Linked DNA regions of Cricetulus griseus. The protein of the gene in region 2 interacts with the protein of the main gene of each other region in a pairwise test. Links are inferred from orthologs where the notes say so. Each region holds a gene or a part of one and is shown on either strand. Other genes may lie near its edges.

What was found. The genes of interacting proteins can lie anywhere in the genome.
Region 1: the proteins of Itsn1 (region 2) and disks large-associated protein 1 interact in a two-hybrid assay, tested with the Homo sapiens proteins (2 studies listed by BioGRID and IntAct). The link is inferred for Cricetulus griseus from reciprocal best matches to the Homo sapiens genes ITSN1 and DLGAP1.
Region 3: the proteins of Itsn1 (region 2) and Wbp11 interact in a two-hybrid assay, tested with the Homo sapiens proteins (2 studies listed by BioGRID and IntAct). The link is inferred for Cricetulus griseus from reciprocal best matches to the Homo sapiens genes ITSN1 and WBP11.

What each region holds. Positions count from the first base shown.
Region 1 is NC_048595.1:459,282,801-459,290,398, reverse strand, and holds part of disks large-associated protein 1, read right to left. Parts: intron 2,782-7,598; coding exon 2,360-2,781; intron 1-2,359. UniProt on the Homo sapiens protein: Part of the postsynaptic scaffold in neuronal cells.
Region 2 is NC_048597.1:5,923,138-5,930,735, forward strand, and holds part of Itsn1 (intersectin-1), read right to left. Parts: intron 7,392-7,598; coding exon 7,232-7,391; intron 4,532-7,231; coding exon 4,326-4,531; intron 3,748-4,325; coding exon 3,665-3,747; intron 1-3,664. UniProt on the Homo sapiens protein: Adapter protein that provides a link between the endocytic membrane traffic and the actin assembly machinery. Acts as a guanine nucleotide exchange factor (GEF) for CDC42, and thereby stimulates actin nucleation mediated by WASL and the ARP2/3 complex.
Region 3 is NC_048601.1:12,201,541-12,209,138, reverse strand, and holds part of Wbp11 (WW domain-binding protein 11), read right to left. Parts: intron 6,579-7,598; 5' UTR 6,522-6,578; coding exon 6,458-6,521; intron 5,945-6,457; coding exon 5,913-5,944; intron 4,805-5,912; coding exon 4,711-4,804; intron 3,782-4,710; coding exon 3,585-3,781; intron 2,800-3,584; coding exon 2,666-2,799; intron 2,473-2,665; coding exon 2,273-2,472; intron 1,811-2,272; coding exon 1,619-1,810; intron 1-1,618. UniProt on the Homo sapiens protein: Activates pre-mRNA splicing. May inhibit PP1 phosphatase activity.

The DNA of each region.
Region 1 (7,598 bases), on a different chromosome or scaffold from region 2:
GTTCGTAAGGAGTAGTAACCTAACTGGGCATGCCATTAGACTGGTTTAAAAAAAAAAAAAGAGTTTGGTTTCAATCAGTCAGAAGTGGCCAGAGGGGGACTGGAGGGACGGTGCAGCACCCAAATGCCCTTGCTGCTTTCGCAGAGAACCTGGGTTTGGTTCCCAGCGCCCTTTTGGAGGACACCAATCATCTCTAAGGCCAGTACCAGGAGATCTGATGCTTTCTTCTGATCTCCACCGTCACCAGATACACACTTGGTGCACACGACATACACGCAGGAAAACATTCATACACACAAAAATGAGTAAGTCTTTAAAATTTGTTTTTAAAAAGTTTATATGCATTGGTGTTTTGTCTGCGTGCCTGTCAGGTGTCAGATCCCAAGGATCTACAGACAATTGTGAGCTGCCATGTTTTATTCTCTCCTTTCTTCCTCTTTTCCTTCTTTCCTTCCTCCCTTTCATTTTTGTTTTTGAGGTTGTATTTTAATTGAATTGAATCTGAATCCTCCTGAAGAGGGGCCAGGGCTCCAAAGCCAGGGCTCCCAACTGCTGAGCCATCTCTCTAGTCATAAATAAGTCTTTAACAACAACAACAAAAAGGCAGCTGGCACATACCTTTAATCCCAGCACCCAGGAGTCAGAGGCAGGTGGCTCACTGATCATTATAAGCTTGAGGACAGCCTGGTCTACATAAAAGTTCCAGGCCAGCCAGAGCTATGAGGTGAGACCCTGTCTCAAAAAGGAAAACAAAACAACAAAATAAACTGGTCAGCTAGCCCTGCATGGTGGTGCATGCCTATAATTCCAGAACTTGGGGGACTGACACACATCTATAACCCCAGCACTTGGGAGGTGCAAGTAGGAAGATTGAAAAGTACAAAGTTATCTTTTGCTTCTGAGCTCCAGGCTAGCCTGGGTTATGTAAGACCCTGTCTCAAAAAACAAACAGGACCCCAGACTGATAGCTGGGAAACCAACATAGGACTGTTCCAGACTCCCTGAGCAAGGATGTCAGTTTGGAGGTCTGGACAATCTATGGGGCCTCTGGTAGTGGATCAGTATTTATCCCTAGTATACGAATGGACTTTTGGAGCCCTCTGCACATAGAGGGATACTCTCAGCCTAGACACATGGGGGAGGGTCTAGACCCTGCTCCAAATGATATGACAGACTTTGAAGATTCCCCCATGGAAGGCTTCACCCTTCCTGGGAGCAGAAAGGGGTTAGGATAGGGGGTGGGGGGTTGGGGGGGGGAGAACTGGGATTCACATATAAAAGAAGTTTGTTTCTAATTTTAAAAAAGGGGAAAAAAGAACCAAACAGGCTGAAAGATGCAATAAGCAGGGTTTCTATTGGCCTATACACTTGTTATTTTAATATTACATGTTAATAAGACTAATAAAACTATAAAGATTATAATACCCAACACACACACACACACACACACACACACACATTGTGATGGTTATTAGTGTTATCAACCTGACAAATCTGAAATCACCATGGAGGGAGCCTCAATTAAGAAAATGCCTCAGTAAGAATGGGCTGTGGGCAGGCCTGTAGGGCATTTTCTTAGTTAGTGATTGTGGGGGAGGGCCCAGCCCATTGTGGGTGGGGCCATCCCTGGGCTGGTGGTCCTGGGTTCTATAAGAAAGCAGGCTGAGCAGGCCATGAGGAGCAAGTCAGTAAGCAGTACCCTCCATGGCCTCTGCATCAGCTCGTGCCTCCAGGTTCCTGTCCTGTTTGAGTTCTTGTCCTGACTTCCTTCAATGATGAACAGTGATGTGGAAGTGTAGGCCAAATAAAACCTTTCCTCACCAACTTGCTTTTGTTCATGGTGTTTCATCATATTTGATTTTTTCAAGATAGGGTTTCTCTGTACTGCTCTGGCTGTCCTGGAACTCCGTCTGTAGACCAGGATGGCCTTGAACTCACAGAAATCCACCTGCCTCTGCCTCCCGAGTGCTGGGGTTAAAGGTGTGCGCCACCACTGCCCAGCTAGTTAGAATTGGGATCAGACGCATTTCAAGATCCTGTTGGGGGAAGTGTGGATTCTGGGAGACACTGAGACCACTGCCATGCTGATCTTGAATGTGTTTCATAGCAGGAAAGGAAAGCTACAGGTCTTAGAGCCGGAGGGTGTGGCATCGGCTCGGTGGCTTTCTCTCTTATCGTGCAGTATACCAGTTTCTGGTGTTTCAGTGGAATTGCCCAGCTCTTCCAGGAGTTTGAGTTTGGTGCGTGAAACAGAAGGTTTCACAGGCTGAGCTGGCAGAAATGCAAACCGGAAAGCCTAGGAACACAAACCCGCACGGCCCACACCACAGTCACAGACACGAGTGACGGCGCTACTTACTGTCCTCGGGGAGGTTGTTTTCCCGTTCTTCTCTCTCCATCTGCTGGCACCAGCCTTCCATGCGGTCTCTCTCTGCCTGGAGAAGCTTCAGGAACCAGTGGCCATCCCGGTGGCACACGGACCTTTGAACGGCCTCCAGAGGATCTTCTGTGATTGAGTCAATCCAGGGGTCCGGGGGAGGCAGGATGGAGGGGTCAAAATCCGTGTCAAAGTCATCATCGGCTGCGCAGGCATGGTAATGGTTCCCTGAACCCTGGATGCTGACGGTGGACGTGCTGGCGTCCCGGGAGAACTGTCTGGCCATCGGGCCGGGACACGAATTGTCCTCTATAGATTCCAGGGAATTTTCCAGATTATCATGGAAGTCCAGGTCAGCCTGCACTGCGGTGGTCACACTGTTGGACCGAGTGAACCTGCGGAAGCTTTGGAAGAAAAAAAAAAGAGATTTAGTTCCGGGATATTTACCGAAGTATAACTACTTCCTGTTTGTTTCGGTGGATTCTGACAAAGGGGTATTGTCGCATCTTCCCAGTATTTGGAAGAGCAGTTGGCGGTGGCCTTTGAGGTGAATATGCTGGTTGCCACAGATCTGAATCTTTGCTATATGGAATAATAAAACATATGTAGGGTGATTTCACAGGTGGGACAAAATGTAAGCTACTGAAGTCACTATGATGTCCAGCATCGGATTTCTTCCCCCGATCTGGGGCAGCTTTCAAGCGGCTACTGGAGAAGCAAAATATTTCAGTTAGATTTTTATGTAATTTGCTTAGAGATAGGGAGAAGAATGCAACCTAGGCTTGATGAAGACTATCTTAATTCCTGCATTTCCCCCAGAGACACCTAGTGGGAAAGAGATTTCCTAAACATTTGTTAGTTTTCCCTTAAAATTAAAACCTTTTTGCTTGGTAAGCGTTCACCTGGCAATCCTGTAGGTCCACATAATAACATGGTTCAAAGCCTTTGGGATAAAGACCAACTTACAGTTCTAGAGTTCTCCATGACTACCCTCCCCTGTACCTTTGCTTTGCTTTTCCACAATTATTTCTCCAAGGTGGCGAAAGACTGCTTATTAACAGGTTCAGTTTGGGCATCTCTCTCTCTCTCTCTCTCTCTCTCTCTCTCTCTCTCTCTCTCTCTCTTGTTTTGAGACAGGATTTCTTTGTAGATCCTTGGCCATCCTGGAACTAGCTCTGCAGACCAGGTTGGCCTGGAACTCACAGAGGTCTGTCTGTCTCTGCCTCCCGAGTGCTGGGATTAAAGGTGTGTGCCACTACCACCCCTGGCTAGTTTGGGCATTTTTATAAGGATATTCATGGGAACAACTTTTGTTTCTTTGATCAAATAGTTCTGTGTATTTCTTGCTTACTCTTACAATGAAAGTGAGGACCGTGGTCTGTCACAGGGTTGTGATGGATTCAAGTATTTCTCTATACCCCATCAACAGTCTTTTCTATAGTTGGTGTGTGTGTGTGTGTGTGTGTGTTTGTATGTATGTGTGGTATATGTGTGGGAGCATACATCTGTGCATATATATACACAAGAGTCTGGAGCAGTTCTTAACCTGTGAATTTGACCTTTTGGGAGGTATAGCCACCCTTTCACAGGGGTCACATATCAGATATTTACATTATGGTTCCTAACAGTAGTTAGGGAGTAGCAGCAAGAATCATTTTATGGTTGGGATTGGGTGGTCACCACAACATGAGGAACAGAATTAAAGGGTTGTAGCATTGGGAAGGGTGAGAACCACTGGTCTAAGGGAAGACATTAGGTATTCTATTACTTTCCACCTTATGTCCTTGAGACAGGGTCTCATTGAACCTGGAGTCTGTCTGATGGCCAGAAGGACCCAGCGAGCCTCTTGCTTCTGTCCCCCCCCCCCACCACCAGTGCTGGGGTTACAGCAGACATGTGGACACTGGGGACTTGAACTCAACTCCTCAAGCTTAAGCAGCAAACATTTTTTTTTCCTTTTTTTTTCCCTTCCTTCCTGAGAGAGGGTTACTTTGTGTAGCCCTGGCTGTCCTATAACTCACTCTGTAGACCAGGCTGCCCTTGAACTCAGAGATCCACCTGTTTGTGTCTCCTGAGTGCTAGGATTAAAAGGATGCACTACCACCGCTTGACAGCAAACATTTAAAAAAAATATTATTTATTTTTATTTTATATGTGTGAGAGCTTTTCCTGCATATGTATGTGTACTGCGTACATGCGTGCTGCCCTCAGAAGATAGGAGAGGGTGTTGAATCCCCTGGAACTGGAGTTCAGATGATTGTGAGCCACCATGTGGGTACTGGGAGTCAAACTTGAGTCCTCTGTGAGGACAGCCAGTGCTCTTAACCACTGAAATATCCTCTCTCCAGTGCCTTAGTGGGTCTTATTTTTGTTGTTTGTTTGTTTTTCCTGAAATGAAGCCACTGTAATGATCTCGATGTGGTCCGTTTCTTTGGGTAGCTCATAACTAGACTGCTTTGAGACTTTGTCTGCCAGTTGATTTCCAATGAATGCTTCATATTCAATAGCACCAACCTAAAAGGGTTGTGCATTAAGCAAAGTCTGTGCAGCTTTAAATAGCTCAGACTTTCACAGTTCTCCTGGGTTACCCTGTGCAAGCCAATTAAAACTAAAGCTTGTAGTCCATCAAAACAAAGAAAGGCCCAAATAACACGGAGAAGCAGTCATGGTGAACAAGTTAAATCAAGTAATCTTAAAAAAAAAAAAAAATCCATGTTTTCCTTCAAGAATATACATCATAGAGATGTCTGGTGGACTGGTCTGTGTTGATTATTAAGATTAAAAACAGGCACCAGGCATTGGTGGCGCTTGCCTTTAATCCCAACACTCGGGAGGCAAAGGCAAGCAGATCTCTGTGAGTTCGAGGCCAGCCTGGTCTACAGAGCGAGTGCCAGGATAGGCTCCAAAGCTACACAGAGAAACCCTGTCTCGAAAAACAAACAAACAAACAAACAAACAAAACCAACAAAGATTAAAGACAGGCAGAGCAGTGGTAGTGCACACCTTTGAGCCAGCACTTGCGAGGCAGAGGCAGGTGGATCTCTGTGCGTTCAAAGCCAGCCTGGTCTATAGGGTGAGTTCCAGGACAGCCAGGACTACACAAAGAAACTGTCTCAAAACAAGCAAACAAAACAAAAAAACAAAAACAACAAAAGGAATAAAGGCAGTCACCTGTGTACCTTTAAGTCCAGCACTTGGGAGGCAAAGTCATTCATATCTCGATCCAGGCCACTTACTTTAGTTCATCTGATCACTTACGCTTTTAAGAACCTGCCTGTAGCCCTGCATGGTAGCACATGCTTTTTAATCCCACTGCTTGGATGTACACTCGTCTATGCAGAGAGCTCCAGAACTGCCAGAGCTATACAGGGAGACACTTTCTCAAACCACCCCGCCTCTACCACAGGCACACACAAAGAAAAGGAATTGTATTTGTTGACATGATTAGTTCTGGTTACTTCTGGAAACTGTTAATACTGCAAAGAGCTAAGCCTGGCGTTGGTGGCTCACGCCTTTAATCCCAGCACTCGGGAGGCAGAGGCAGGCGGATCTCTATGAGTTCGAGGCCAGCCTGGTCTCCAGAGCGAGTGCCAGGATAGGCTCCAAAGCCACACAGAGAAACCCTGTCTCGAAAAACCAAAAAAAAAAAAAAAAAAAAAAAAAAAAAAAATTACTGCAAAGAGCTAAAGTGTGTATGTGTGTGTATGGGGGGTATATGTGTAGTGTGTGTGTGTGTGTGTAAGACACAGAGACAGAAGAGAATGGGGAGTGGTGTGTGGTGTGCAAGTTTGAAAGCCATGTTAAGAAGTCTCTTTGTTTTAACAAGGAAGGGCAGAAATCGGGTAAAATGTCCCTTCCAGCAACCACTTCTTGGCTGTTTCTGTTTTTCTTCCACGCTGTCCCTAAATGCTAAATGTCACTTCATGATGTTGGGCTTTCTCTCCCGCTGCCTGTGTGTGACTTGGAAGGTATTCATCACCACAGCTGACATTTTGGCTGTTCTGCTAACACAGAACTGGAAACTGCAGAGATGCTTAGGCTTCTTTGCCCCAAGATCTCTGATTGCCAGGGGATCGAATTTCCAAATTTACCAGTCCATTTGTGTTCCAGCAGCTCACACCCAAAGCCCAGGAAGAATCTGCTCCCTAGAGAAAATGGTGCTGACTTTCCCCCATTTTCAGCCACACAAAACTGTCCTACCAGCATTCCCGAGAGCCGTGTCTTGGGTGTGGATTGGGCAACCTATCCACCTTTTTAAGAAAAGTTACTTGGCAGTAGATTAATAGAAGTTTGCAGCTTAGCCACCCAGAAAGAAATAAAAGTCAAGCAAAAAGAAAAATGGTTTGGGATTAAAAGCAAGGCTTTGAACTCCGGCAACCCTGCACAAGCTGTGCCTTCTCCTGCCCCCCAAGTCCTGAAAGCAATGCTTCCTTCACCAGAGCTTTCAAAGGACGCTCAGCACCACAAAACTGCTGTCTTTCCAGCGCAGAGGCCCTTGTGGGTGAAGGGCGTGAGCAAATTGTGACCGTTTCTAAGTTGCTGATGGGAACATAAAGAAGGGTCACTGAGATTAATCTCTGTGAATGGGGTAACCCCAAAGCTGGGCCTGATCTAGCTGCCCCCAAACCCACACTTCAGGTTTTGAAGCACTTCCTGCCTGCCTGCCTGCCTGCCTGCCTGCCTGCCTGCCTGCCTGCCTGCCTGCCTGCCTGCCTGCCCTGCAGGCGCAGTGTGTAATGATTTCACTTCTGAACAAGGCCAGGATGCAGAGAACCAGTGATGAAAGACTGGATCAGCGGTGCAGAGGACAAAGCCCTGTGTGTTCTGAATAGTGAGAGACAAGTCACTGACTAGCAGCCCCAGCTGTGGCCCTTGTGCCAGTGAAACAAGCGGGTGTTCATGACTAAAGGAGACTCTACACCATTGCCACAATGTTTCTATATGGAACAGGCTACAAACGAACATACAGGTTCTTGGGAGTCACAGCTAATACAATTGTCATCTTCAGAGTGTGTTTGTGTAAGGGCTGGAGTTTGAACCCAGGGCCACACACATGCGTACGTTCTGTGTTAATGGGTTGGCCCTGCCTGGCATTCAACTAGTGACATTCAAGCCTTGTGAGATTTTAGGGAGGTAATTCAGTTATTCCACTGCAGAGCACCCAGCATCTGGTCACCCTCTTCATCCCTCTGTTTGTGTAACAGCTGCTTTCAGAACCAAA
Region 2 (7,598 bases):
CTTTTAGCTTTGGTTAACACTGAGGGCCTGTCTACCATGTGCTGTGTAACAGGGTAGGATGTACTCACGTGCAGGCTTTTGGTGTGCAGAATCTGTATTTCAGTTTTGAGGGGGCACGTAACAGGTTTAGAAGACTTCTGGATACCGTTCGTCCTTGATGTCAATCAAATGACAACCCTTTCACTATTTAAGTGCCCAAGTGAACACCGGAGACATACAGTACCATGTATATAAAAGATAGGGGGCTGTTTAAGAATCGAACAGTAGGCGTCTGGTTATGGCTGGACATCTGCTTGTCACCCAGGTTGCACAAGCAGGTACAGGGATTAATGACAAAAGTAACATCTCCCTAGCACAAGAAAATAACCAATCATCTCTAACAAGCTTATTAGAAGTTACTAGGCATGTGATATAGCCTCAAGGAGGAAGAGCTGATATTCTTTCTCTAGTGACTCCAGTCAGAGGAGTGTCTTCCACAGGGATAGCTCCCTGTAACTCTAGAACTCTGCTTTGCTTTGATCTGACCCCGAGGCTCAGGACAAAGTCATAGTCAAGATCGCTGGACACAAAACCCTATACATGGAGTACAGACGGTTTACAGAGAGAGACACATGTTTATTTCTGGTTTTTTTTCCCTGCTCTGTTCTAGGCCTTTACACATTTAAAAAAAGTAATACAAATCAAGCCTTTTGTAAAGCTTACTCTCAGGACAGACTGGATTGTTACATTGTAACATATCTTAGATGAGATAATATCCCATCAAGCCTGCCTTTCTTTCTTCCTTCCTTTAGACAGGGTTTCTCTGTGTAGCTTTGGAGCCTATCCTGGCACTCGCTCTGGAGACCAGGCTGGCATCGAACTCATAGAGATCCACCTGCCTGTACCTCCCGAGTGCTGGGACTAAACGCGGCAGCCCATCAAGCCTTTCTTAAAGCTTACTCTTAGGACAGACTGGATTGTCACATTGAAACTTATCTCACATGATATACATCCCTTCAAAGCAGAGTGCCAGGTTGCAACTCTGCTGTAGAAAGCTCAGGACTGACTGGATTGTTACATTGTAACATATCTTACAGGAGATAAAACCCTTCAAAGCAGAGTGTAAGGTTGGCTAGCAGCTAGAACTCTGCATTAGAGCTCCACTGGCCAATTTTACATTTATTTTGTATATGGCTCGTGTGTGGAGGTCAGATGACAAGGTGTATGGACTTTGGGATCACTCTCAGGCTGTCAGGCTTGGCTGCAAGCACTTTACTAGCCGAATGGTCTGGCTAGATCCTCCTCTGGCTAATGTGAAAAGCTTTGTCCTAATGAAAACCGACATAGGTACACAGAACCCCTAAAGTCTGAGCTAAACGTCTATTCCTAACTACAAGAGGTCTCCTTCAAATCCAGGTGACTAGTGGGACCTGTGCTGAAGCCAGCACTGACTGCTAGACCCACAGCTGACAGAAGGTCACCCGAATGTGCTTGGGAAAACAGGACTCTGACTTTGGGCCTCCATTCTGGTAACATGAAGCTCCATAGTTAATGCTGAGAAACCAAACACGCCTGGAGAGCGAAGTGGTCCCAGCGCATTCTCCTCTCGTGCTTACAGTTACTTGATTTCTCAGTATTCTGGACACTGACTGGTCATGTGTGCTCCCCTTTACCATTGTCCCCCACCCAGCCACTTCTGACAGGATTCTGAGCATTCTAAACCTTTCCTGGATTATTCAATACATATCACCTTCTTTAAATCCCTTTAAAATGTTGGAGTATCCTTCAAGATGTTTAAGAAACTTGGAAATGAAACCGCTAACTGAGCGCAATATTGCAAAATGTTAAGGGGCCCAAAAGGACCAAGAGGCTTGCATTTCCTGCCCCACCCTGCACAAGTTTGTGGGAAAGTCAGACTCTGTGAGAGAATTCAGAGGGCTCCCAGCAGGCTCCCCTTTTAGGGGGCACTTAAAAGAGGGGCCCAGGCCGGTCCCAAGCTACCACTTCCATCTATTCAAATGCATAATCTATTTAAATCTACTTTAGAGTTTAAATAAGATGTTTAATGTATTATTAATAAGAGGCTTGCTAATCTGTAAACAGCCTTTCTCAGAATTTCTAATGCCAATATCCTCCTACAAGTTCTCCTGCCACGAGGCCAGCAATCCTTCCTGGTTTTTCTAATGCCCAAACTCATTTCAAACCAGACAGACACCACCTCAGATCGGAACCTATCTCTATTCTGCTGCCTAACTTTAAGAGTGAATGAGGGGCAGCTGTGACCTGTTAGGATCTCGAGTGTTGCAGTCTTGGCACAGTCCCTCCCACACTACTGTCTGATGAGAACGCTCACTGCTCTGAGTAGCTATACAGTAAGCAAGGACACGAGGCCAAGTGAAAGGAGCGGACATTACTGGCCTTCATTCTAAAATCTTTATACATTTTAATTCATAATCCCTGGAATAATTTCCCCCCAAAAGGGTGGTTAGTATGTGCACTTCACAGATGAAGTTGAGGCATGACTGAAATCATGTAATTGCTATGACAGAGCCAGAATATGACTTCTCCCCCAGTCAGACCTGTTGACATATAATACACTTGAGTTTTTGCTGTTGTTCTGTTTTGGGGAAGAGGTAAAATTTGTTTTTAATTAGGCTGAAAGCATGTTATATCAAAAAAGAGGTTTTTGCCTTGTTCTAATAGTGCTAAAATAATTATTAAGGAAATGTGAATGTGTAAAGATTATCCTAGGAGAGTCCATATAATAATAAATATGTATATTCATATAAAAAATAGTAATAGTTACGTGGAAAAATTTGGAATTTTTTAAGTGGCGATAGGGTTTTACAACTATGCCTGCAAACTAAACAACCATTATTTTGAAAAGTCTCCTTAAGAATGGACTAGTGTTCCTGGGAGTTGGAACGAGCATTAAGCCTTCATCCGTGCAGCCTCTGCTGAAGCAATTATTCCGAGAACTCTGTTTTCCGCTGGCAAAGTTTCTAAGGAACACAACAATTTTACCACAGCACATGAAGCACACTCTGTCATCACAGATGTACTCCAGACACCTGTGAAAAGATTGCCACACACCTCTGCCGACATCTGTAACTGCAGAGCCTGCTCACTGCCACACAGATGCTTAACTCAGGTGGCCCCGGCCAGCGCTACCAGGTAATGACTGCGGTGAGCGTGGAGGAGACCAGTGAGGCCTCAACTGTGTAAAACTTTAAAATACCTCTTTTTACAGCCTGGCATATAATACCTAGGACTATGCCATATAACAAGGGTCAGAGGGGGGAAAAAAGCAATGAATTATTTGTAATAAGCCTATGTAACCTGACTTGGTCATTCACAGAGCACAGAGATCTTGTGGCTCAGCTGGGGTGTACCCAAGGCACTCGTGGTGTTCTGAGAGCTTCACTGGACTGTGCCATCAGTTTTAAAGCAATACAGTTATGGATGTAAACAAGACAAGAGGGCTACACGGGGAAGCAAGGCCGTCATTGACACATGCTCAGAACTTGACCCCTGGTGGACGCAGTGGGCTTCTCACTGCCAGACATCATTAGGCAGGACAGAAACATCCGGCCTATTTAAAAGTGAATCCAGTCATGGTCATTTACAGTCTGCACCAAGTAATGTGCTCAGCCTCCTAAAGAGAGCGGACACACCCCGTCCTCACCTTCTCCAGGAACGGCTGGCTTGGCTGCTGGGGAAGACACTCTCTTTAGGCTAGCAGGACTTTCGGTAGGGCCAGTATCGATGCTGTAAGAAGGGAAGAAAAGAGTATTTTAACTCTCACCTGAGAATACCAAATGACATTGCTTTTCTCTTTGAAAGCTACAGAAGACCAAAGCTGCAGCAGTCACTAGCAGCTGGGTACGGCCACAGTGAGAGTGCTGGAGGCATGCGTGACCACGCTCACCCGTCTGCTTTGCCCACTCACTACACAGGACACACAAGCTCAATGCAGTCTCTTCAGCACTGACTAGCAGATGTTGTGGGCTATTTCTGCTATCTTTGCATGGTGGAATAATCCAATAGTTCTATGCTACATGCAGACACTAATGAAGAAAGCCATTCATTCATTCTTCCAGTCGATTCCCCAAATGCCTTGTATTTGGTACTGTACTGGGTACTAAGCATCCAGAGTCACAATTCCCAACAGCTGCGGGATTCTTAGACAAGGCAACACAGTGCACAGGCTGCTCAGGAGAACGGGATCCCTTTCCACCCTTCACACACACACTTCATCCTGCAGCTCCCACCAGTGAATCTAACCAGCAGGGACAACAATTGCTAATACTGTTTCCGTCAAACAGAAGCAGATAACAATAAAGTACCTGGTAGCTTTCCTCACGGGCCCTGAAATGAGTTTCACGTAAGACTTGGGGAACCAACCCTTGTGACCTTGAACTTCTCCAAACCACCACATGTCTTGCTGTTCCAGAACGGTGATGACATCGTTTTTGTTAAAATTTAAGTGGTTGTCTTTCTTGGCTCTCCAAGGATACAGGGCTTGCGCTTGTAGCCCCTCCACTTTTTCACCCTGTGTGGGATGACATAAAGGACCCGTGATTACACTGCAGTTTTTTAATCAACCAAGACAGAGACACCGTCTCTGCCTGGCAGGAATGCTAGGCGCCTCGTGGCTTCTCTGCAATTGTTCATTTTAAATGTGGAGATCTAAAAACCCTGCCGGCCGCTCCCAGAGCCCCACCCAGCCTTACTTCTTCAGATGCACTGGCTGTGCATCTTTTATACTTTGATGTAACGGGGCAGACATTTCAGGATTGAATGGTGTTTCAGTTTAGGTGGACACATGAAAACAGGCCATGCACTGGACTGTGCTTGTTTTTTCCCATGATTGTGGACATCGTGGGGTTATAAGGATGAGGAAAACATCACTTCTGCTCCCTCCACATAGTTGGGAATTGGCATTTTATTAACATTAAAGTGCTATAAGAATATCCTCTAGTAATAGGAACTTAGTGTACCAGGAAGAGAGAAAAACAGCAAAATATATCACTTGGAGGAGTGAAACACACTACAGAAAAGTTCTCCTGCCTCACCGTGAGATCAGAGCGGCAAGAAGGACAAAGCCTGCCTTGGAGCACCAGGGACAGTTTCACAGGGGAAGAGGCATTTGAGCCCTGAAGGACGAGAAGGGTTTGAGAGCTAGCACTGCAGAAGGGCACTCCAGGCCAAAGGCAAAGGCCTCGAGAGGAGAGGAAGTGGCAGGGCAGGAGACAAGGCTGCAAAGGCAGGTGAGGCACTTATTATCTACTTAAAAATCATGGCGGCGACTTAAACAACTAAAACAAGCCCCACTTGGATTCTCCACATAAATGGATAAGGAGCAGAAGTTCATGTGCAAGGACAGCTGGTCTGGATCTGTCTGCGATTGACTGAGGTGATTTTTATTTCTGCGGTAAGATCTGACTGCATGAAACAGGAAACTTCTGTGAGTGTGTGTGTGACCTCTGACCCTTGCTCTGCATGGATTCTTACCTCCCTACACCTAAACATTCTGACTTTCTTTCATTTTAGCACCAAGATCACTGTGTTCTCCACCTGTCGCTTCCTACTTGCCCAGTGATCACAGTGCTTCTGCCTTGCCTACTCCTCTCAGCTATGTCAGGACTTCCAGGCCAGAGTGGAAGGGAAGCCATTTGCTCTGTGCCTTTACAAAAGTCTGGGACATCTCCCTTGACACTCCTTCCCTAAATGTTAGGTTCTGAACCAGCCCGAGGTCAGATGAGACTTCAGCACGGGGGCTGAATCCCAGATCTGCCACTTAATAATTAATTCTGCGACACTTGGGCAATGACGGATTTCTCCAAGCCTCAGTTTCTGAAGGCTGTCACAATGTTCAGAAAGACCTGCTATCGTCTTTGCTGTGACTGTGACGAGGCTGTAGTACCACAGTCCCTGGTCCTGAGCTGGGCAGTGCTGCGGCCAGTGGTGACTTTGGTTTCCAGGGAACCCCTGCTTTTCCCTGTCCTGGTCACTGCAGGCCGCTCAATGCACAGGCCCCTCACTTACGCTGACTGACGCGCTGCTCCACTCCTCACAAACCAGCAGAGTTCTCGTGGCTCAACTTCCTCCTTCCTCACAGCACGCTTGCACGCTGCATGACTTTCCCTTTCCTCAGTCACCAAGAGGTTGACTCTCGCTATCCATGATGGCCTCTTCTCCGTCCTGAGTGCTCTCTGATAGCACGACCACCTCTGTCCTCCCGAGTTCTAGAGCTCACCCTTGCCTACACAGTTTTACTCACGCCTCACCCACAGCACCTCCTGGGTGGCTGAGCACCGATGGGATACGCTTCGGTGCTGAGTGTAGGTAGAAACAAAGGAACACCGTGCAGCGTCCTCCCTCGCCCCAGCCGCTTGCTCTCAGCCATGTCCACTCCCTTGGATTTCATGGTGCTTGCTACAGCCAGCCGCTTGCTCTCAGCCATGTCCCGCCAGTGTGCCAGACAGCCCCAATTCCACCACCGTGTACTCAACTCCTCCTTACTAGACTCTCTCTCCCTTCCTCACCTGGCTCACTCCTTTCCCTCTGCCCAACCCTGCCGTGTCTTCCCGTTTCCGTGGCTTGGGCACAGAGACTCTGCAGGCTCTAGGCTTTCACGTAAGTGCCCTGCTGAGCACGGCCGCTCAGCAACTCCAGTCTTCTTGCATACCAACCATTTCCCCATGGATCTGCCCGGTGTCTCCTCCAACTTAAGCATCTCCAGAACAGAAAACCCCTGTGATCCCCTGGGGCCTCCCAGATGGGCATTTGCTGTGTGATTCATTAATCTCATTCCTTCATCATTACTACATTAACATAAAGAGAAAGGTTCATGACAACAACCCCTACACTTTCAGAAATACTGTTCCTTAGCAGGGCCTCCCATTAACCTGAAATTGGTCTGCCTTTTTCAGTAGGGACCAAGGGGTAGTCAAATAGGCTGACCCAGAGTTTTCTTTATGAACACCCTGACTCCTCATGGCAGGTTCGGTACCTTTTTAACCGATCATCATTGCAGCTCTGATGCTGCTTTTTCAATGAAGCTTCTTAGACACAGGCGGGACAGTTTACGCCCTCTGAACTCTGAGGTTTACACTGAGTCTCAGGTTTCTGAACTAGGTCCAGCCAGCCAGCCCAGCTTCATGGCAAGAGCCTGCATTGCTGAAGCTGCTGGTGTAATAACACTAGCTGCAGACCACTCAGTCTTCACGCCCTCCACAACTGCCCCTACCTGGCCCAGGACGGGAGACGGGGAGGAGCCAGTGGCTGTGGCTGGTGTAAAGGCAGACCTCTGCCTTAACTGGCCAGCGCTGGGTACCGTGAGAGAAGGCTGAGCAGCCCATGCGTCCCAGTTATCCGTTTCTGGTTTCTCGCTTGTGCTGGCGGGCCACCTGGAAGGAAAAACACATGTCATAAGCAGTAAGCACTTTCTAGTGTCCTGACATTACAGGACACCCACACAAACAAGGAGGGCACCCCGGGGGAACAGAAATCGATGACATTTATGTGGGCTTCTCTAGTTGAGAAGAGGATGAGAAAGAATGCCAGGCTCAGGTTTGACTCTGCTACACACACTGCAGCATTCCCCAGGCCGATTA
Region 3 (7,598 bases), on a different chromosome or scaffold from region 2:
GCATGCATGCAGATAACTGTATACATAATAAATAAAATCTTAAAAAAACAAACTGAATTAGCCAATGCAATTTTAAGCTCAAAACACGCACCTTACAGCAACAATTTTCTTCAGCAATTCAGTCAAACATAAGTCATAGGAAAGATGAAAGCTGTCCAACTCATGAAACTACCATCCCACTAACCCAAGTCTATCTAACCTAGTAACCAACACAGAATATAAGAAAACTGAGCCCAACAGTGTTGTGAAAGGACAATACTTCCTAAGATGCAGGGTGCACCAAAAATGCAAGGTGATTTAGCATAGAAAATTAGCAATGTAATTTATGACAAAAGGCCACCTGAAAGATGGGAAAAATCTTAGTAATATCCTATCAGGCACTTAAAAAAATATGATTACTCTCTAATACCACCAATTCCACCACAAAAATCTCTTCGTAAACTAGAAATACACTTCTTCCACCGACACAGGCTACCTACTGGACACTGTCAAGCATTACACTTTCTATGTGTGCCGAACTGCAGTTTTAGTACCCAGGAAAATGGCTTGACTATGATAAAAGCAATAAATGTTTGATGAAAAACAAGACAGGAGACAGCCATTTGAGAAACATGCACGCTGCTGAAACATACAAGAAAATACTGGTGCCACCATCTTTATTCCAGCGCTCAGCAGGAGAGCTTAGTGATTTTGAGGCCAGCCTGGTTTAGCGAGTTCTCTGCTAGCCAGCTAGTGAGACCCTGGCCCCTCCCCACCCACAAAACCCCAACAGCAGCTGGCAGCAGAAGAGGAGAGAAACCATGTAGCCTCTCAGGAAAAAGCAGTCCATGGGGCTCTAGCTTCTCTCTCCTTTATAAGATCAGTTCCTACTGAAGAGTCTTCTATATTTTATAACACCAGGCTCATCCTGTCACTATTTGTGATAGATTTTTTTGATATTTGTAATTATGATTAAGAAACACTAGGAAAGGGATAGAGATGGCTCAATGTTAAGAGCCACTGTGCAATCCTGAGGGGACTGGAAAATCTAGCTCCCAGAGATCTAATGTCATCTTCTGGCCTCCTGGAGCGCCCTGACACATTCATCTGCACACCCACTTAACTCTCACAAATATTTGTAAGAATAATGTATCAAAACTTTTCAAACTATCAAGACAAATGGCCAGGCATGGTGGCTTATATTTGCAATTCCCAAATGTGGGAGGGTGAAGCAGAGGACCACCACAAGTTTGAGGCCAGCTTAAGTAACAGTGACACTTGTCTCAAAACCAAACCAAACCAAACCAAACCAAACTGGGCTTAAAGCTGGTCTTGACTGGCTCAGGTGGATAAGGGTACTTGTCATCAAACAAACTGATATAGTGGACTGAGAGAACCAACTGTGACCTCCATGTATGTGCCCTGGCATACGCACATACACTCTCGGACACACACACACGTGTGCGCGTGCGCACGCGCACACACACACACACACACACACACACACACACACACACACACACACACACACAAATATAAACCACATAGACACCACCTCAAATTACAAACCAAAGGAGCTGGCCATGACTGTGACTCTGTACTGGGCTTATCTGTGTGCTGATCTCACCATGGCACATACCTGACTTCTTCTCCTCAGGGTTATCGCGCTCACTGTCCTCACGGTGCCCAAACTCATCCCCCTCGCTCTCTGCATCAGATCTGTCACTGTCGCTGTCATCAGTGCTGTCATCGTGCTTGTCCTGGTCCATGTCCTCAGGGTAGCCATCGTCTTCGCTGGTACTGGACACGTCATCGTCATGACCTCGCTGAGCTGATGACAAAGACAACAAGTATGATTGTCCTTCAAAGTACCCAGAAATACAAAATTATGCTATTTTTAACTTTATAACATGTAAAATTCTGTATGCAATGTCAGCTGTCATGTACTGTGATATTTTTATTGGGTACTTGTTTTAAATACTTTTGTTTTCTTGTAAGAAGTTCAAACACATCATATTAGAAGCAATTATTTCTGTGTATAGTCACATGCACTGTCAGTAACTCTAGCCAGTTGAAAATAAGCAATTCAATCCAGTCTTAGGGATCTGTAGTGACATCTGTATGCAACAGGCTCTCACCAGGCAGCTCTGGTGGATTACCCCTGGGAACACACAGCAGTAAGTACATGGTGTCCTCACTCCCTTGTGTTCTCATTGTGGTGAACATGCTAAGTATGTTTAACATAGAAACAATCTCAAGAAGGACAAAAGGAAAAGACCCTGCCCCTTCATACCAAGTTCTGGACTATACAGCATGTCTTCATCTCGTCTACGAGGGGGAAGATCTAGAGCAAAACCCACTTTACGGCCATACATCTGCAGAACCTGAGGAGGAGGTGGGCCAGGTGGAGGGCCCGGTGGTTTTCTGCCAGGGGGCAAACGTGGAACACCATGTCCGAGGAGCGGAAGGATAGAAACTGCCCGAGTTGGCGGCCTGTAAAGAGAACTTGATCATGTTATCTATGCCTACAGTGGCGGTGAGAACGTCTAATTCCCTGTACAATTGCAATGCTCCCACTCCACATTTCATTGCTCTCACACTAATGACACCCGCACAGCCTTGCATGTCTCCCTGTACTGGCTGTGGCACCTCAGTCAAAAGCTGCCGTCACGACAGGCTTCCTTACCCATACGCAGAGGTTTTCTTAAGGATGGAGGGTGGCTGGGCACCAGGAAGCGGAATGTCCTGGATCAAGATGTTGGAAGGAGCGTGCGGCATGTCTGGCAGAGGGATGCTGTCCACTTCAACATGCTGAGCATTCTGCAACACAGAGACCCAGCCAGCTGTGCAGCACCCATCCAAACCCAGCCCCAAGAACCCGACATCCTCAATTTGTTTTCCAACTAACACAAAGATCATGAGAAATCACCTCAAGCCAAAACTGCCCAGGGAACGAAAGAAATCTATCATTTCTTCTTAAAGAATCCAAATATAGCTTATTCTTTCAAAATCCCTATAACCAGTATGATTTGAAAAAGCTTCGGTTTTAAAGAAATCCAACCGTGGCAGGGCTACTGCAACACTCTGCTCAGCAACACACATCTGTTGACAAAGAGTACCCAGTCTCTAAAATTCATGAACCTTTCTTGGGATTCTGTCTTGTATTGTTGGAAACATGCCATCTACTTCACCAAAATCATTCCATTTGGGGTTTTGATTTTCTGCCCCAGTAAAGAAAAATTTGTAATAAACTATAAAAGCTCACACAAGTGGGTATATCCTACTCCTCAACCGACTTCTGACACCTTGCAGTCAGCCAGTGTTAACAGACCTGTTTTTGCCCATTTTGGAAGTATAAGCACATGGAATATTAACGGAAAGAAGCAACACCGGCTGGGGCCTCATCCATGTTCTTTTATAGTCTCCAATCCCAGGCAAGGATTAAAGGTGTGCATCACCATGGCTGGCTCACACTGTTACTAATTTTCATCATGTGTTGTTTCTCTTTATTATCAATGGATTACTATACAAATACTTTCTGCTAGAGCATAAGGTGCACACTTAATCTAAAAACACATCTGGTCCTCTCCCAAGAGCAGCTTTACCTTAACAGCATCAAAATACTGGCTCAGTTGAGCCCTCTTCTGTTCATATTCTACTTCTAGCTTTCTCAATTCTTTGTAAATATCTGGATTTTCTTTTTCATAAAGTCGTAGAATTCGTTCAAAGGTTTCCCGCAGCTTTTTACGCTTGTCTTTCAGGACTTTCTCATTTAACTGTGGTTGTTGCACTGGGTTAAACTCTGGGAGAAAAGCAGATTATAGAACTGTAAACAAAGAGCTACTTCATCAATAACAAACTAGTTCCAGATACCACCATTTTATTTTTGAGTCCTCTGTGCTCAGGGGGATAGACCACCAGGCAATCGCATCTTCCTTCGGAACTCCCAGGCTAGCGTGCTATCTCCTGAGTTGCATTCCTAGCCCTCCCTGGGACTGGAAATGAAAGAGCAGCTTTCCCACTATCTGCGTGATGTTATGGCCTTGTCTCCTGGCTACCGCTATCCGCACACACGTGTTCCACTTTCCACCCCATGCAGCTGTTCACTAGAGCTGTGCAGGAGAGCAAGCAGACACAACAGTCCTCTGGAGACTCTCTGGGCTTCCTCCTAGAGACAGCTTTCTAGGGCTGTCTCAGTTATGGAAGCCAAGGCACACCTTTCTATTTTAATTAGTTCAGATTTTTATAAATGGAACTAGGGCCCCGATGATTAAGACATTTTCTCCTTTTTCTTCAAGTACCAGTTCAATTAAATTCTTTCCCTAAATCTTCCTATAACTTGATGATTTACTCAAATCTAGAAGATATATTATTGCACTACTCCTACTGACTAAGAATTTGAGTGCATGTCCTTTTTTATTCTGCTAACTTATTACGGCAAAGGGAAAATATAATTAAATCTGAACAATTATAAAGTGAGCTGGCCAGACTCGGCCTTTGTTGCCTAATAACATTAAGTAATCCCAACTGAATGATGGCTTCTCTCTTCTAGGACATGTGATCTCCAGCTTGCAATGGATCTTATCTCTTCACTTTATTTCCAAAACATTACAACAAAATGTCGTGTCCTATGCCATCAGGTTGCTCGGTTTTCTTAGGCCTATGCTGCTTGCCATTGGGGACCACACTATTATAGCTGTTAATAAATCTGGCCTTTTCATATACTCTTACCCATTTCATCCAATTTCTCCATGTCCCGGATAATCTGTTTGGGATCTTTCATCTTCAAAACCGCAGCTCGGACCATCATTCGTTGTTTTTTGTTCTTAGAAAAACAAAAGAGAAGACTACTAAGAGGCTGGATGCTCAGGACATTATTACTTCAATTTGCCTCAAGAATCTAAATCATTTCACATTTTCCTTTGGTTTCAAATCATGTTTAAACCACCAGGAACAGTTATGAGATTTCTTGTTCTCAACAATGTGTGGACATTGCTAAAAAGGTATGCTTTCACAGAAAGTATTTCTTTCAACCCAGTTAGACTGTTAGCAACTACCACAGGAACAACTTTTTTAAAAACAAAAAACAAAGGGCTGCTGTTAAATTAAAAAAAAAAAAAATACAATGCTGGATAGGGATATTTTTGAAAGACTCGAGAGCATACCAGAGATTATAAAAGCCCTGAATGCATTGAAGAGTGATACCAAATGTTTACCCCTCTAATTACTCTGTCAAAATTCAATAGCTAATTAGATACACAAAGATATCCACCAACACATTTATTGGCATTCATTCAATAGCTTTTAACAAAGCAGCTACATTTTGGTACATGGTAAAAATAATTACTTTCTCAAGACAGGGTCTGATGTAGCCCAGGCTGGCCTTGAACTCCTGATACTCTTGTCTCTGATCTCCACATCCCAAGTGCTGAGATTACAGGAGTGTGCTACCACAATCATCTTAAGAATTATTTCTAAAAGGCATTTTTAAATATAATTTTATATATGGGCGTGTTTGTGTGAATGTGTAGGCATGTGCTTATGAGTTCTTGTGGAGATCAGAATAGGGTGTTGGATTCCTGGGAGATGGAGGAACAGATGGCTGTGAGCCACCCAACATGGATGCCGGGGATGGAACTCTCAGATCCTCTGCAAGAGCAGTACGTGAAGCTATCCACTGAGCCATTACTCCGGCCCCCAACGAATTCTTTTTTTTTTTTTTTTAAACTTATGAGGCAGGAGAATTACATAAACAGTGTCAAACAAGCACTATGAATGGAATGTCCAAAGTTTTATCAGTCATATCAGTTTTTAAACATAGTAAACTGTCTGGTTTTCATGAGAAGTATAAAGCATCTTTTCTAGCATATAATTTACATGTTATTATCATTCATGAATCTCAATCAATATACAGAATGTGTCTGAATTCATACCTTCTTCAATTCTCTTTTCCGGGCTTCCTTTCCTAAAGAGAGGGAAAGAGACCATATACCTCAAATCTTCAACATTAACATTACCACAAGACAGCACACACTTTTTTCTTCTGAGGCTCCCCTATGCAACACCTGGATATGCACTGGCATCGGTGGCTTCGACCTGCAGACAACTGCACAACTGCAGCACTTCTAACCCTAAGAACTCCAGATGCTAAAATGTTTCTTTTCACAGAAATAACTGAACCAATGAGAAAAAGAGATTCTCAAATACCAAACTAGCGCTTAAAACTCATTTGTTTAAAAATTCCAACACAAAAAGAAAAACAATCCAATTTTATCCTGCAAGCCAACAAAGCTTGACAAGAACATGGTTTTAACTGATGTACACTCTCAACATTTTAGTCATGTGAGTTAATTTTAAGAATTCAACATGACTTCACACAACTCCCTTCTACCAATGCTGAACTTGCTTAAGCCTCGGGGAAATATTCTTTGCAGTTTTTAACTCTTCAACGTCATCATTTCACACTAATGGCACTTACGAGCTTGGTCTGTGGGGTTCATAAACTTCCCACTCTTGGTGGAGGATGTTGATCTCCGTCCCATGTTGACAATTTATATGATTTACTTCTTCATTAAAGAAACAAAACAAAAAAACGAAACCTGGAAAAAGAAAAGAACTCAGTTTTCCTGTATGTTTAACATGTCTTCCTTTTTAGAATTCCCATCAATTTCTGGAAATACCCCTCTGATTATTAATTTTGTAAGAACTTGTTCTTTGCCGGACGTTGGTGGCACATGCCTTTAATCCCAGCACTTGAGAGGCAGAGGCAGGTGGATCTCTGTGAGTTCGAAGCCAGCTTGGTTTCCAGAGCAAAGGCCAGGATAGGCTCCAAAGCTACACAGAGAAACCTTGTCTCGAAAAAAAACAAACAAACAAAAAACAAAACAAAACAAAAAAAGAACTTGCTCTTTAATTTTGAACATATAATATGGCTTTACCTTTCTTCATCACAGAAAAGCTAACATCTGTACAGTCAAGGCAACGAGACACATGAACTCTCCACATTTAACACTCTGCTATGGATTATGTAGCACTGTCAACTGAAAAAAAATTCAACTAGGAGTTTGCACTTGGAATGTGGACTGGGCCATAAAAGACTATCTCAAAACAAAACCCAACTAGAAAATGTTTTAATAATGTGATACAAACCTGGAGTGTAAGAAGTCAACAGTTCATTTCCTACACCCTTCCCCCTTTATATATAAGGTGAAGTCAAAGAGAAGTAGTGATAATGACTCTAGGCTCAAAGACAAATATATGTTCTCTACTTTTCTCCTTGGCATAGGCACTGTTCATTCAAAACCCCACAGATGGTAAAAGGTAATTAATTTAAACATACTTAATTTAGACTCAATACCAAGTCAAATATGACTCATGACTTTCAAGCAAAAAAAAAATGAATAGAACTTCCCAATCTTAATATTAACATACATACTTTTCTTACTAACACATATGACTCTTGATTTATTTTAAGGTAACTAAAAGTGGCAGGTCACTGTAGGAAAATAATTTCAAAGCTTGTATTAGTATCAGTTCTTCTATTCAAAATGGATGAATGTTAACTTTAAAATTTAACCTTTCCAATAATACAGTAAAGAAATGTTAGCCGTTGAAACGAT